Drosophila melanogaster: one gene and its partner. The protein of the gene in region 1 interacts with the protein of each later gene in a pairwise test. Each region holds a gene or a part of one and is shown on either strand. Other genes may lie near its edges.

What was found.
Region 2: the proteins of HSPC300 (region 1) and CG5446 interact in a two-hybrid assay, tested with the Drosophila melanogaster proteins (one large-scale study listed by BioGRID).

What each region holds. Positions count from the first base shown.
Region 1 is NT_033778.4:24,024,349-24,031,418, reverse strand, and holds HSPC300 (haematopoietic stem/progenitor cell protein 300), read left to right. Parts: upstream 1-2,629; 5' UTR 2,630-2,684; coding exon 2,685-2,805; intron 2,806-3,294; coding exon 3,295-3,404; 3' UTR 3,405-3,702; downstream 3,703-7,070. Other genes in the region: CG30172 (uncharacterized protein), read left to right, coding at 254-449, 576-718; CG3163 (uncharacterized protein), read right to left, coding at 935-2,041; EbpIII (ejaculatory bulb protein III), read right to left, coding at 4,024-4,404; Ak2 (adenylate kinase 2), read right to left, coding at 5,772-5,987, 6,052-6,219, 6,283-6,519, 6,999-7,070.
Region 2 is NT_033779.5:12,424,591-12,431,725, forward strand, and holds CG5446 (uncharacterized protein), read right to left. Parts: upstream 3,120-7,135; 5' UTR 2,978-3,119; coding exon 2,879-2,977; intron 2,798-2,878; coding exon 2,636-2,797; 3' UTR 2,041-2,635; downstream 1-2,040. Other genes in the region: Fam92, read left to right, coding at 348-487, 539-698, 753-893, 949-1,419, 1,471-1,746; Trm1 (tRNA methyltransferase 1), read left to right, coding at 3,467-3,493, 3,553-4,007, 4,071-5,150, 5,208-5,382; CG5435 (uncharacterized protein), read right to left, coding at 5,482-5,603, 5,688-6,103, 6,157-6,197.

The DNA of each region.
Region 1 (7,070 bases):
GCTTACAACTGAATAGAATACCAAGATAGCCAATTTGAAGGAATGCTATCATATACGAAAGATTGCCATGTATATAGAGTACGTGGCATCTCATCAGATATTCGGATTGTAATCACAGTGCTTAGCAATCATTACCCTTTCCGTGATTTTGCGAAGTCCAGCTCCTTTGCGCATGCACGAATATCTGCGGGATACAGATACACAGTTTCTGCTCCACATTCAGTTATACTATACCGTCTCGCGTTCAGAAAGGATGCTACTTTTAAATAAAAACCGAGTGATTTCTTTGGTCGTTAATTTTATTTTTCTTATCATTCTCATTTCATCGAGTGTCCAAGCGGATGAGAGAAACATTAACAAGCTGCTGAACAACCAGGTGGTGGTCAGCCGCCAGATTATGTGCATCCTGGGCAAGAGCGAATGCGACCAACTGGGACTTCAACTCAAAGGTAATAAACATATTCGTTTAATGTTCGTTCAGATACAACATCATTTTAAGTCCAAAGTTCTTTTCAAGTTCTTCGCCAATTGGTAAAGAGCCCAAAATGTAATTATTTCGAATTTGGTTCTTACAGCTGCCCTGCCAGAAGTTATAACCAGGAAATGCAGGAACTGCTCCCCACAACAGGCTCAAAAAGCGCAAAAGCTGACCACATTTCTGCAAACTAGATACCCGGACGTATGGGCCATGCTTCTAAGGAAGTACGACAGTGCCTAAATGGCATTTAAATGTTATTCTCATGCATCGAATATAATAAACTAGTCTCGACATCATTCCTAGCATTTGGTTTCGTAGCTTAGGGGATTTTCTAAGGATTAGGCGGCTGAAAGGAATCCCTCCTTTAAATAAAACATGGCTTTGTACACATGACTGTCTCTTTACATCTTATTATTACATAAACTCTAAAAGTACGTCTTTAAAGGGGCCAGGCCATCATTTACTGTGGCTCTCTAGGTAAACTGTTGCATTGTCCACGCCCATAAACTGGTGTATACTCAGCGAGGACAGCATTTTCATCTGGCCCTGGTACAGCACATCGGCGATGATCTTTTCCGCGTAGATAGCCTGTGTTCCGTCCATGGAGCGAAGCTTGTGTGCGATAATTTTCCCGAAGTTGGAGAAGTGGTCGTCCAGCTGGCTGTCCGCACTCTTTAGGGCCAGCGAAAAGAGGCGCTCAAAGTCAATGGTGGAAATGTCCGCTCGGAATTTACCTGGAGGCGGCTCGTTGTCCTCCGAAATCTGCGAAGAGACCGAGGAGGACCTTTTCCGTGTTATGTGATTGGCTTTCTGGCTCGGGCTCTGATTACTGATCAGTTTCGTTTGGTTCTGGGTGACGATGCGCTTGCACTGCGGCGATTCGGAGTCGCCAGGCGGAGACTTTATGGAGTCGGGCACGGATTTTCTGCGGGCGGACAGCAGCCTGTTGTTAGCAGGCACCACGATTTCGACCTCCTTGATAGTAGCGCCACTGGCATGGCTGTTGGCGTTGTTGACTGTTTTAATACTGATAACGGGGTCAGCGGCAGCGGCGGCGGCGGCCTCCTCGAAGATGTTGGCACAGAATTCGTTGGCGCTGTTGTTGGGTGACATCTTGATCGAGTCTGCCGTCGGCTTTGGGGGCTTGTGCAGGCTCTCGGCGTCGGAATACTCGTCGCCGTTCTCTGGCGCCCCTAGCTGCATGGAGTTGTCCAGGCAGACCGACTGCTCGCGCTTGAACTTCTTGTCGGCGGGGATCTCCTCGTCCTTAAGGAACATCAGGGACTCGAAGTAGCGGCGCTTGGGGCAGTAGGGCTCGTACTTCTCGCCCTTTTTCTTGACCTCGTTGTATTTCCTCAGCTGATGACGAAATGCACAGCGCAGATTGTTTATCTTTTGCTTTGTTCGCTCCACATTGTACATCTCCCCGTGCTTGGTGGCCACCTCGATGAGCTTCGCGTAGGCCTCCTGCCGGCGGCTGCGGTTCCTGAAGTCCGCCGAGTCCGCCTTCCACAAGCACGGATTGCTTTTGTATTCTTCGATGAAGTCGTCGATAAAGTCCATTTTTTGTTTACCAAATGAAAAACACTGTAGTTTACGGGGCCACCTAGTTTATCTATGTGTGCGTGTGCGTGAGTGGCATCAATAGCTATCGTTTCGCTCGGCTCATTCCGATTGGAACACGCGGAATCGGACCGCAAAATGGGTACATACTTTGCTGGTTTGCAGTAATTCCTTAATAAATATCATTTAAAACAATAAAACATCGAAAACTAACCCACGGTTAATATAAAATATAGCAAACGCAAATTCGAATATATCTATGTATATTGCGATATACAATTGTATATTGCGGCGATAAGTTTCTTTATATATTCGGCTGTGTCTACCCCAATACTTTTATTATTTACCTTTATTTTATTATTCATATTTACACGCTATAGTTGGCAGACAAAAATATTAAGTTATTTCTTTCATCGCACTTTCCCGCGTAATTTTTAAATAGTAGTGCTTAGGGAGTGTTGTAAAACACCATTAAAATTTCTTGTTGGAGTAAAAATTTGATCTCAATGAATCACGGTGAACACGGTAATTGTATGCCTATCGATAGTTCCAAATTTTTGACAATAATTGTTCCGGCCCAACCCATCTCTCATCTCTAGATAAACACAATTAAAACGAACAGAAACAATAGGAATAAATAAAGATGAGTGGGGCTCACAGAGAGGCGATCCAAAAGCAGATCCACCAGGACTGGGCGAACAGGGAGTATATCGAAGTGATAACTGCCAGCATAAAGAGAATCACCGACTTTCTGAACTCTTTCGGTAAGCAACCTGCATACGAAGCACCCACTTCCCTCTGACGCATGTGTGTGTGCGCGTGTTTATTATCACTTCCTTTGTAGGTGTGGGTGAACGCATAAGTAATATTACTAACAAATATTCATCAGTGACAATGACTTTATTTACTCAAGTCTTAAGTCTATAGAAACAAACAGTGGTTTGTGCGTGGTGGCATATATGTATAGCAATATATGTATCTACATACATATGGAAATGTATGTATGTAACATCATCGGAGGGCTCAAAACGAAAATTCGGCTTTATCTCTATCCGAATTAGTCACCTAAATGAATTGGATAAGCTTTTTCGGTTGCTCTATGCATAATTTAAGATACGCTAAATACTGTGATAAATGATAAGCCAAAGAGTGCGAGGTAGTTGGGTTGCTAAAATATCCCATATCCTTAATAGGGTTTATGTACACTGTTGGCATTATAAACTGTATCATCGTGTGCTATCATATCCTTTCAGATATGTCCTGTCGCTCCCGTCTGGCGGTGCTGAACGAAAAACTAACGATCCTGGAGCGGCGCATAGACTATCTGGAGGCGTGCGTCGCCCAGGGTGAAACATTAACGTAAACGCTGCCCACAACCTTATACTAAGCTTTGTACATTTATAAGTAATTAAAATACTGATTTAATATTTAATATCTTTTGATTCGCAATGTGAATTGCCGTGACATTAATAATTCGCTGTACATTGTTTGTTTGTTCTTTGAAGGAAGGTTTTCACGGCTGAGTTACTTGCGGCCATCGGATTCGATTCATTGCCCCTTTTAAGAATAATATAAGTAATAGCTCAGAACCAAGACAAGCACGCGATGTTTTTGCCAACTAACCGTAGCTGCCTTTATTGTCAATGTTAATGCAAATCGCCCGCCATATATAAGCCGCTTATTAGGGTCTAGTCGTAATCTTGTGAATGTTTTTTCTAAGACCTTAATTGTGCTTAGATTAATCATCGTTCTAGTAGCAGGAGGCTAGACTTAAGTGCTACATTTGTCATAGTTAATTTATATACTCTCTGAAGCCTGGCAAATCCCCCTTCGATAACGATATAATACTCGGCAGGTGTATGGTAAAAAAACAAATCTCTTTATTCCGAGCACGATCGTAGAAATAATTTTGATGATCAGATATAAGCGTAGACCTAATTAACAGTGCATATAACCAAGAGTTTCCGGAACCGGGATCCGCCTTACACCTTGATTCCCGAGGCCTCGGCGGTGGCGCGGTAGCGCTTGATGTAGATCTCATCGGGATCGTACTTGGCCTGCAGCTGCTTCCACTCCTCGGGCTTGTTTTCGATGATGTAGCGAATGACCTTGTCGGTGTTCTGGCGCTGCTTCTCGCTGCACTTGCTGCACTCCGTCTTCAGGGCGTCCGGCAGGGACTTCTTGAGCTCCCGGCCCTCCGGGGTGCACTTTCCGTTGTCCACCAGGCACTTGAAGTAGTTTCCGAAGAGGCGGTCCGACTTCAGGATCTCGTCGACGTCGATGTTGTCGTACTTGGTGGTGTACTTATCCTCGGCGGCGACCAGCACCAGTCCAAGGACGACAAGCGCAAGTATCATCTTCATCTTGGAGTTTTCTGCGGGCGAATTGGGGTAAGTATGTTTGTACGATTAATCAGCACTTTTGTGGCTTAGTGGGTCTGTTGGTCGGGCAACCAGTTTTGTGCGCAGGGGATTTTACTGGGCAATGGAAAAATATTTTTACTAGCCATCGAGCGCGACTGCATTCGCAAAATGTATCTGTGGACTTATGGGATTTGTATGCAAATTAATGCACAGCCAGGCAGGCCACTTTGTATGCGTATCTGAAACACATTCGCTGTCTGAAAAGATGTCACTGTTTATACACAATGAAACTGGTTGCCCGTCTGGCTGCGTCCATGAGTGTGTGGACTACTACCAGCCACCAGTCGACCAGCCGAGCCGATCGGCTCCAAAAACTATAAACGGTGCGGTGGTCTTACAATGGGGCTCGACTTGTGGGGCGACTCGGAGCGAATAGATGTGAAGCAATTCAGCTGCTGGAACTAACTGAGAAATGTTTCTATGAAGTGGGCTTTTATACCTGGGCCCACTTTTTACCTGGGATTGAACTTCAAGTGTAATACACAACACAAACCGCGCGCTGTGAGCCTGTGTTCGAGCTCGGCTCGTATCCATACGGGATTGCACACACTTTAGACTTTGAAGCGAAAATCGCTATTGCTGAAAAGTCAACCCAGTGATTAGTCAATCGTCGTTATAAATTTATATAATATATGTGCGATAGTTATACACACTTAAATTGACATTAACATTAGGCAGGTGACGTCTGAGTACTAAACGGCGATCGAAAGTCGCTCTGCGAGAGATTCGCAGCCACGATGGACGGGCTAACTTGGCGATATGTTATTTGTTTACCAGATTTAACGATCTCATTAGCGATTTCCATTAGCAATTTCTCATTTGTTACACTTGAGACCCGTGCAACATGACCCTTTAATAGTCGCTTTAAAGTTGATTGCAATAATAAATAGTTCTCGGAACAATTAGTAGCTATCCATCAAACGCTAAAAACCTCGATTCGAAACTGAGTCAGCCGCATCATATTCCAGAAGCTTTCCGGAAAACAATTGTGTGGAAGTTTGAACTTGGCGTCGTCCATCCCTCATTCGAACGCAGCCCAGTTTAAAGCAGTCATGTCTCGTAAAATGTACTTGTTTCCTTCGATTTTTTTATTAAATTGTATTGTAGTTACAAATAGTGAAATGTAAAAAGTAACAAACACATACACTTTAGAAATCTGTACAAGGAAAGTAGTCGACCTGCAAAGGTAATTTCGTTTGTTCAGGATTTCCGGATGCAACTATAACTTTAGGCTTAAACGTTGTGTGTGTCTCGAAATAAATTGTCAGGAGGCAGTTATCAGTAGTTGATCATTGCGCAGGAACAAATCATAACTGGATCTGGGCAGGACGCTTGCGTTGGAATATAGAGTCGATGGTGGAGAAGACGTCGCTGGACTTCTTGGCGGCGTCCACCTTGAAGTGCAGACCCCTCAGGCCGTAGTAGTCGACCAGCGGCTTTGTCTGCTTGTGATATGCTTCCAGTCGCTTCTTCAGAGCCTCGGCGTTGTCATCGCTGCGACGGATTAGGGGCTCTCCAGTGACCTGCAAGTACACAAGGTCTGCTTTCATTTAGAGTTCTTGGATAGCGTCCTATAGAGATACTTACATCGTCCGTCATTGGCTTCTTTGGAGGGGCAAACTCTTCGTGATACGAACGCCCGCTGGCCTGGTGGATCAAGCGGCCAGTGATGCGCCTCACCAACAGACTGTCGTCGATGGCAAACTCGATGACAGCATCCAAGTTGGTTTTCCTCTTGTCCAGCAATGTGTCGAGCTGCAAAGTGCGTTTCGAACGGATTATAACCTAAAGTCCAAAGTGCTTCACACGTGTGGCTACCTTCTCAGCTTGAACGACAGTCCTGGGGAATCCGTCCAGGAGGAATCCATTCTTGCACTCGGGCTTGTCCAGGTTGGAGTCGATCATGTCCACGACCAGGTCGTCGGAGACCAGTTTGCCGGCATCCATGACCTTCTTCAACTCGGCTCCCAGCTTCGAACCGGATGAAATCTCCGCCCGCAGCATGTCGCCGGTCGACAGGTGGCACACGCAGAACTTCTCCTTCAGCAGGGGAGCCTGAAATGGGCATAATTAAAAACATTGATAAGTTTCAGTTAGAGCTAATCAATTAATCAATTTAGCACCATATCGGAAGGTAAGCAAGGTAACCAATCGGCTAGATAAGATGCATTTCTTGAGGCCAGGAATGTTCTGGTAGCCTTTTAATAGATGGTCTGCATAATACCCAATCGATTGCCTAAAGGTGTTCCACTTAATTCGCCACATCTCGCCAAGGCTTTGATTTGATTCAGGGTCAAGAGAAAGACACTGCTTGACGCATATGTACATACTTGGCACGTAGATACATACATATACATTTCCATGTACACATCGTCTTATATAACTTCACCAGTTTTAATTCTCTTCCAAGAGAATTAACGAGCTTCACCGATTATTTGCAAACAAAAACCGCGCACTTGAACACGTTGTATTTATTTATAGACTACATGGCGTCCGTGTCACAAAAAACACATCATTATGTAATTTTGACCCACCTGCGTTCCTTTGCCGGAACCCGGCGGCCCCAGGAGAATGGCGTTGATCCCGATGTTCTCAGGCTCATATCG
Region 2 (7,135 bases), on another chromosome or scaffold:
ACGAAACGTGCTCTTGACCTTGACACTGTTGGAAAAAAATGAAGTACCCATATTCAGATATTTATTTTAGGATTGAATATTTTTAGAATGTTTTAAATTTCCTTGATAAACTTTATTCTTGCGCCATCTATGTACTTGCAGAAGACGCTGATACTAGCGCCACCTGGCAGCAGTAGGTTCTTAACATTTCTGTTAATTTTACAGAGCTGGAAATATGCTGGCTGTTCGAACGAGAGTTGCCAGATGAATTTAGACGTTGCCTTGGTAACGGTTTTCACTTGATTTTATTGTCGAAATAAAATAAATAAAGAAGGAAAACAAATATAAGGGACTAAAATAAAATAATAATGTTTCGTCGTGGAAAACTATCCTTTCTAAACACCAAAGATGACCGTGTTAAAATAATAAACGAGCGCATAAACATAACAGAAAGGCATCTAATGGAGATGTGCTCTTCGTTTGCTTTGGTAACGCGGAAAATGGCCAAGTGAGTTTGGTAAATAAATAAATCTGAATGAATAATCATAAGACCTTGCAGATATCGGGACTCCTTTGATGAGTTGGCCAAGAGTGTGAAGAGCTACGCCGACGACGAGGAAATCAACGAGAGTCTCTGTCAGGGACTGAAGAGCTTCACCAACGCGGTTACCATAATGGGTGATTACATGGACATCAATGTACACCGATTGGAACACAAGGTGAATTATCCTTTTTTAAATCTGCATCTTATATCATATTATTGACTTATGTAGATTGTCAACGAGTTGGCGCAATTCGAGCAGCTTTGCAAGTCCACAAGGGACAATCTTCGACTGGCTGTCATAGCGCGGGATAAGGAGGTACTACGTCAGCGCCAGATGCTTGAGCTCAAGTCAAAGTTTTCTGCGAACAATGTGGGTATTAAAACGAACAATTTACTTCTTATATAATTCCCAAAACTTACCGTAGAGTGCCGCCGATTCGGAGCTGTTTAAGGCCAAAATGGAGGTGCAGCGCACAAACAAGGAGATAGACGACATTATTGGCAACTTCGAGCAGCGGAAGTTGCGCGACTTAAAGCAGATAATCAGCGATTTTATACTGATCGCCATGAAACAGCACACCAAGGCATTGGAGATACTCAGCGCAAGCTACTATGATATTGGAACCATTGATGAGCGCGACGATTTCATTGAGTTTCAGAAACTCATGAAGACCAAAGAAGAGCTGGCTTCCAGGAAAACTGCACTCAAAAAGGGACTGCGCTCCCAGTCGATGGATAGCTTGGAGCACGAGCACCTGGTCAGTCCGCTCAAGAGGCGCCCGAAGTTGTCCAGGAGCAATAGGAATCTGACGGGAGCCGGAATCAATCATGGAAGTAAAACAGAACCCGAAGATGAAACCGACGAGCAGGATGAAGAGGAAGATGATGAAGATGAGGTATGATTTGGCATGATTATGGAATGATAGAATAACTCCATTCCTCCCAAGGAAACCGAGCAAAGTGGCGAAGAGGACGAGGAATCTGGAACGGCAACGGATGACGAGAGGGAACCCACGCAGCCGGGCAACCAGGTTCCTCCGCGGGAGAATGTTTTTGGGGCCAAGATCCGATCTGCCAGCAAGGATATAGCCACGCCATCGACCAGTGCCAGTGCCACTTCTGCTCCTTCGAAGCCCAGCAGACAAACGGTCAAACATCCATTCAAGGCGGTGGCCTCCACCCATGTAAGGCTGCAGAAGCAGTTCCACGTGCCCCAGCACTAGCACTCAAATTATGACCAGTAGTAGAGTTCCTAGAGCTCACATCAGTATTGCAGGCACATTCTGGAATCGTAGCAAGAGCTTAAATAAAATTGAATTAGGAACATACTTCTAAGGGTTTATCTTAATTGGTTTTTGTAACCCCGCAGTCTCAGAGCTTCCTTTCATAATTTAATCAGAATGTATTACCACTCTCTATCTCATTGCCTTAAAAAACATGATATGTAGAAGCAACACAAATTGCAATTAATATTCGAAAATCATTCTGGTCCACAAATCAATGTTGATTTTCCTTTTAAAAGTAGGGATTGTTATATAGCACTCCTTGCCATTCAGCGCTGATTTCCATACACTTTTTATTAATGGACACGGGTCACGATTTGCATTATTTGTCCCAGATAAACAATACTAAATATATGCATATCATAACTAATCAAGCGGAAATGACGCGCTTCTCTTCCCCTTTTCGCAATAAACTTTCAGGTGAGGAAACACAAATCGGGAACTGGTCGCCTGGTAACCGTTGTTAAATCGAAGTCCTGAACACCCAAATAGCAGGGAATTTACAATTCTTGAATTTTTAATTTATAAATAGAAACTAAACGGCAATAATTCAAAATTATTGGCCATTGCTCACAAAAGAATTACTTTACTTAAATTATGATGTGCCCCGACCGGGCGAAACTTAAAACTAAGCAATAAATGGATGAGCAAATGTGTTCTTTTCTTCATTTCTTGGGGAGCAGCTGGGTGCGGAGGAGATTAAATGAATGTGAGAACCTGGAATTGTAAACTTGATACGGGTGACTGGGTGCCAGGTGTTCGATGTATGTATCTAATGGTATTGGGATGCACTTTCCGAATGGGCGTGGCCGTGCCAGCGCTACGGATCTCATTTCTCCGGTCCCTGACCCTCGATCCCGGCCTGGTTCATCAGATCCGCAATGCTCTTCTCCAGATCGTCGATGCGGTTGCCCATGTCATCGATGCGCGTTATTATCTGGTCCGACATCGTCTGGAACTTGTCCTGAACGTTCTGCAACAGATTTTGTACCTGATAACAGGAGGCAGGTTTACTGGGTGCTCATTTGGTGTCTCTATTTACTGGGTGGTTCCCGGTTCGGGCATTACTCACGTATATGGTCAGCTCCTGCATGTTTTTGGGGTCCGCATTGCTGTTCAGGGAGTAGTTCTGGTCCAGATCGCTGTCCATCTCGTTGCGCAGATCGGTCATTCTGTGGCTTCTTTGTGGCACTGTATAAAAGTACAAAAATGCTATCACTTCTAGCTCTTTTGCTTCTGTTTGCGGCTGCGGCTGTTTCACTTCTGCAAATTAATTTCTTTATCAAGCATAGGGGCGGACTTTGGTTCGATAGTCCTTTCGATAATCCTGGTGGTGGCAAAGTAGCTAGCTTCAAGTTTTATTTTCCAGTCATATTTAATGTCAATTTATTATTTTAATTTATTTTAATCTTTAAATAATTCAAATAAATATTAAGAACCATTTTTATTCAACATCATTTTATGGGATGTATTATTACAGAGAATATACCCAAATTGTAAATTTTGAAACTAAATTAAACTTAAATATAATTCTGTAATGTTTATTTCGTATTTCATATAAAAAACAACAAATTTGTGTATATTTTTAGTTTTAAAGCTTAATAGCTAGTAGCTTACGTTTTTCAACACTGCCCCACGTGTATTCTTTTAACTCATCCAAATGGAAGTGGACGAGGAAAAGCCGCAGGTTCTTAAAGAAAAACACATTATAAATAAACCACATTAAGCTAAGCATTACGATTGCAGATTATTGCTGAAAATCCCAACGAAAACGTGATACGCGAACGTAATGCGGAGATCGTTTCCGGCGGCAATGTGTTCTACAATCCTGTCCAGGAATTCAATCGAGATCTGAGCATTGCTGCTCTGAATGTTTATCGACAGAGATTGACCAAGGAGCGGAGCGAAAAGGCGCTCAAAAAGCAGCGGAAGAAGGTCAAGGAACAGGAGGATGAGAAGACCACTCCCGTTCCCGAGGATCCACCTGTTTATGAGGCCGGTACTCGATATGAGGATGGACTTCGGATCCTGGAGGCACTGGCAGCCACCGGTTTGCGTAGCATCCGTTACGCGCAGGAAATCGCCGGTGTACGCCAGATCGTGGCCAACGATCTTTCCCGCCAGGCAGTGGCCTCGATCAACACAAACATCCGGCACAACAAGGTGGAGGAGCTGATCGAGCCCAGTCACTCCGATGCAATGTAGGTTTATAATTAAGCTATTGGCACACGGTATAAAATGGGGCATTCCAATACATCGTACAGGACCCTCATGTATCTTTCGACGCAACCCGAGAAGCGTTTTGATGCAGTTGACTTGGATCCGTACGGATGTCCCAATCGCTTTTTGGATGGCGCTATGCAGTGCCTGGTGGACGGCGGCCTGCTGCTGGTGACAGCCACCGACATGGCCGTGCTGGCCGGAAATGCTCCGGAAGCTTGCTATGTAAAATACGGATCGGTTCCGCTGCGGATGAAGTGCTGTCACGAGATGGCATTGCGCATTTTGCTGCACTGCATCGAGAGCCACGCGAACAGGTACGGCAAGTACATCGAACCACTACTGAGCATATCAGCGGACTTTTACATCCGGATATTTGTGCGTGTGTACGTCGGCCAGGCCCAATGCAAGCTGTCGATGAGCAAGCAGTCTTGGATATACCAATGCACCGGATGTGAGACCTTCACGCTGCAGCCCTTGGGCATAACCAAGCCAAATCCCACGGCTGGTAATCCCCAGCAGCTGAAGTTCGGAATTCCCACTGGTCCGGCGGTCAACTCGCAGTGCGAACATTGCGGTCACAGGCATCATCTGGGTGGACCCATCTGGTCGGCACCGATTCATAACCCCGAATTTGTGCAGGATCTTTTAACGGCGGTCCAGGAGACCACCTTGCAATCGCTGGGAACCCAGAGACGAATCGTTGGAGTTCTTTCCATGGTCCAAGAGGAGCTGCAGGATGTTCCCCTTTACTACACGCCGGACAAACTGTGCTGTGTGCTCAAGCTAGAAATCGTGCCCATGCTAAAGTTCCGGTCTGCTATTCTCCACGCTGGCTATCGAGTCTCATACTCGCATGCCTCGAAGAATTCGTTGAAAACCAATGCTCCACCAGCGGTGCTATGGGACATTCTGCGCAGCTGGAGCAAGCGACATCCGGTAAATCCCGAAAGGATGATTCCTGGATCTCCACTGGCGGCCATACTTTCGAAAGAATGCACTGCTGTCTACGAGTTCGATGAACTCCATCCGGAGGCGAACCCGAAGAGTCGCAAATCGGCATTATCGCGCTTCCAAGAGAATCCGACTCCACATTGGGGACCTGGAACCAGAGCCACTATTATGTAAGCTAAGTAATCGAGCCACCCACTTTCGCATACTAAATTCCCATCCAATTTCAGGATTGGTGACAACAAACTACCCAAGAGCTATCGTAACCAGAACAAGAAACAGCGTCACAAAGCGTCGGAGCAACAGGCGGAGGATGACCAACAGGACACTCCACAAGCAGTGGATGAGTATGATGGAGATGTGGAGCACCTGCCCAAGCAGCCCAAGCTGGAGGCGACTGCGTGACGACTGCTTCTGTGTCCCAAATTTATTTCCAATAATGTTTGTAAAACCCAAAACGCAAAATGGTATTCTTTCTGGGAAAGCAAACACAGATTTGTGGAACTAATAGCGGAAGAAGTTGCCGTCGGAGGTCTGGCGCGAGAATCCATTGTTCACCAGCTGGTTGTGGACACCGCTGCAAATGAGCTTTACGCTGTGCGGATGAATCTTTTCTTTACAACCGCCTGCAACAATATGATTAGATTCGAAGTGGGTGTTACTTAAAATGCGTCGAGAACTTTAGGTTTGTACCAATTTTGTGATCTTACCTATGCGAAGTGGATGACCCAATACGTCCTCCTGCTTGCGCCGAATGAAGCGCGTGTTGCGCAACACCCGAAATGATTTGAGTTGGGAACCAATTTCCTTGGCCGCCCCAGGAGCTGACCAGCTACTTATGGCGCGGCACGTCTCCCTCTGCATCACGTAGTCCACCTTGTCCGGAAATGCTTCGCGGGTGTGATCGTAGCGCGACTGCAGCGAAAAGTCCAGCGTATCCTTCGGGATGTTCGGATTGGCACGGTACCGCTTGCTCGAGCGCACCGAGTTCATCGTTTGATGATAGAAGAGCCGCTGATACGGCTCCAGATGGCCATGCCAGGTGCCCGGTTTCAGATGGGCCTCCGGCAGCGGGGGCTCTGGAAAAGAGCACACATAGGTGCCCTCCGTATGCAGTTCCGGCTGCCTGAGAGCACACAATAGTCATCTTGAGCCAAGTCGGGCATAACTAAAGCTTACCATGATACATTCTTGATCTGCACAGTATCGTACTGAATCATCTTTGCAGGAGAAACCAATATAATTTAGATGAAAGTGTAAAAGGGTTTCTGAATCGTATTCAGAAGGACTTGGGTATATGTGATTTTGCCTTCGGTTTCCCGGCAACTGCTTTGTCAATATACCCCCCGACTACCATGTTTCTCGGGAGTCAATAGAAACCGAAACATAATGGATGGATGTTCTGGGCATCCGAAGATACTAGATCTTTCTTTACAATATTCCAAGATACATATATGTTTTAAAACCCCATTTCAACCAATTAATAACATATGTAGATGGTTAAGTTATAATCAAGTAAAACTTTATTGAAGCGTTTAATTAGGCTGCAAATTCAAAGGGTTAGCTCTCTCACTTACCGAATGTACCAGATCGTTAGGGAATCCCACATTTCGGTCGAGTCAGTATGCAATCCAGACTCTAGCATCCATCGCATCGTCGATGTGGCCTCTGCTGCAAATGATGACTTTTCGCCTAAACTCAAAAGGGACGCCCACCAAGATACAGGAAAACACCAACAACGCCAACCAGCAACAAATCGCGAGTTGAGACGAGACGAGACGAGGCGAGAGAAGAAGTGACGGGAAACGGGAAACTATGAGTGAATCTGGAGCAGCTTTGGCAGCGCCAGCGTCTAACAGGAAACAGGAAGCTGCTACGGCTACGGCAACTGCAACTGCAGCATCAGCGGCACCAGCAACAGCATCATGCGACAGCAGCAGCATCAGCATCAGCATCTGCAGCAGCAGCAGCAGTAGCAACAATCAGGAGCCACGCGGTGTCCGCCTACGTGAGGAAGGAGTTGTAGCTTAGATGATGCGCTGCTGCTGATCCTTAATCGCGAGCGATTTAACCACAATCTTATCTGAACCGCAACAACTGCCACACACCATTCGCCTGCATATATATAATAAACGTGTGGGAGAAGCTTGTTAATAAG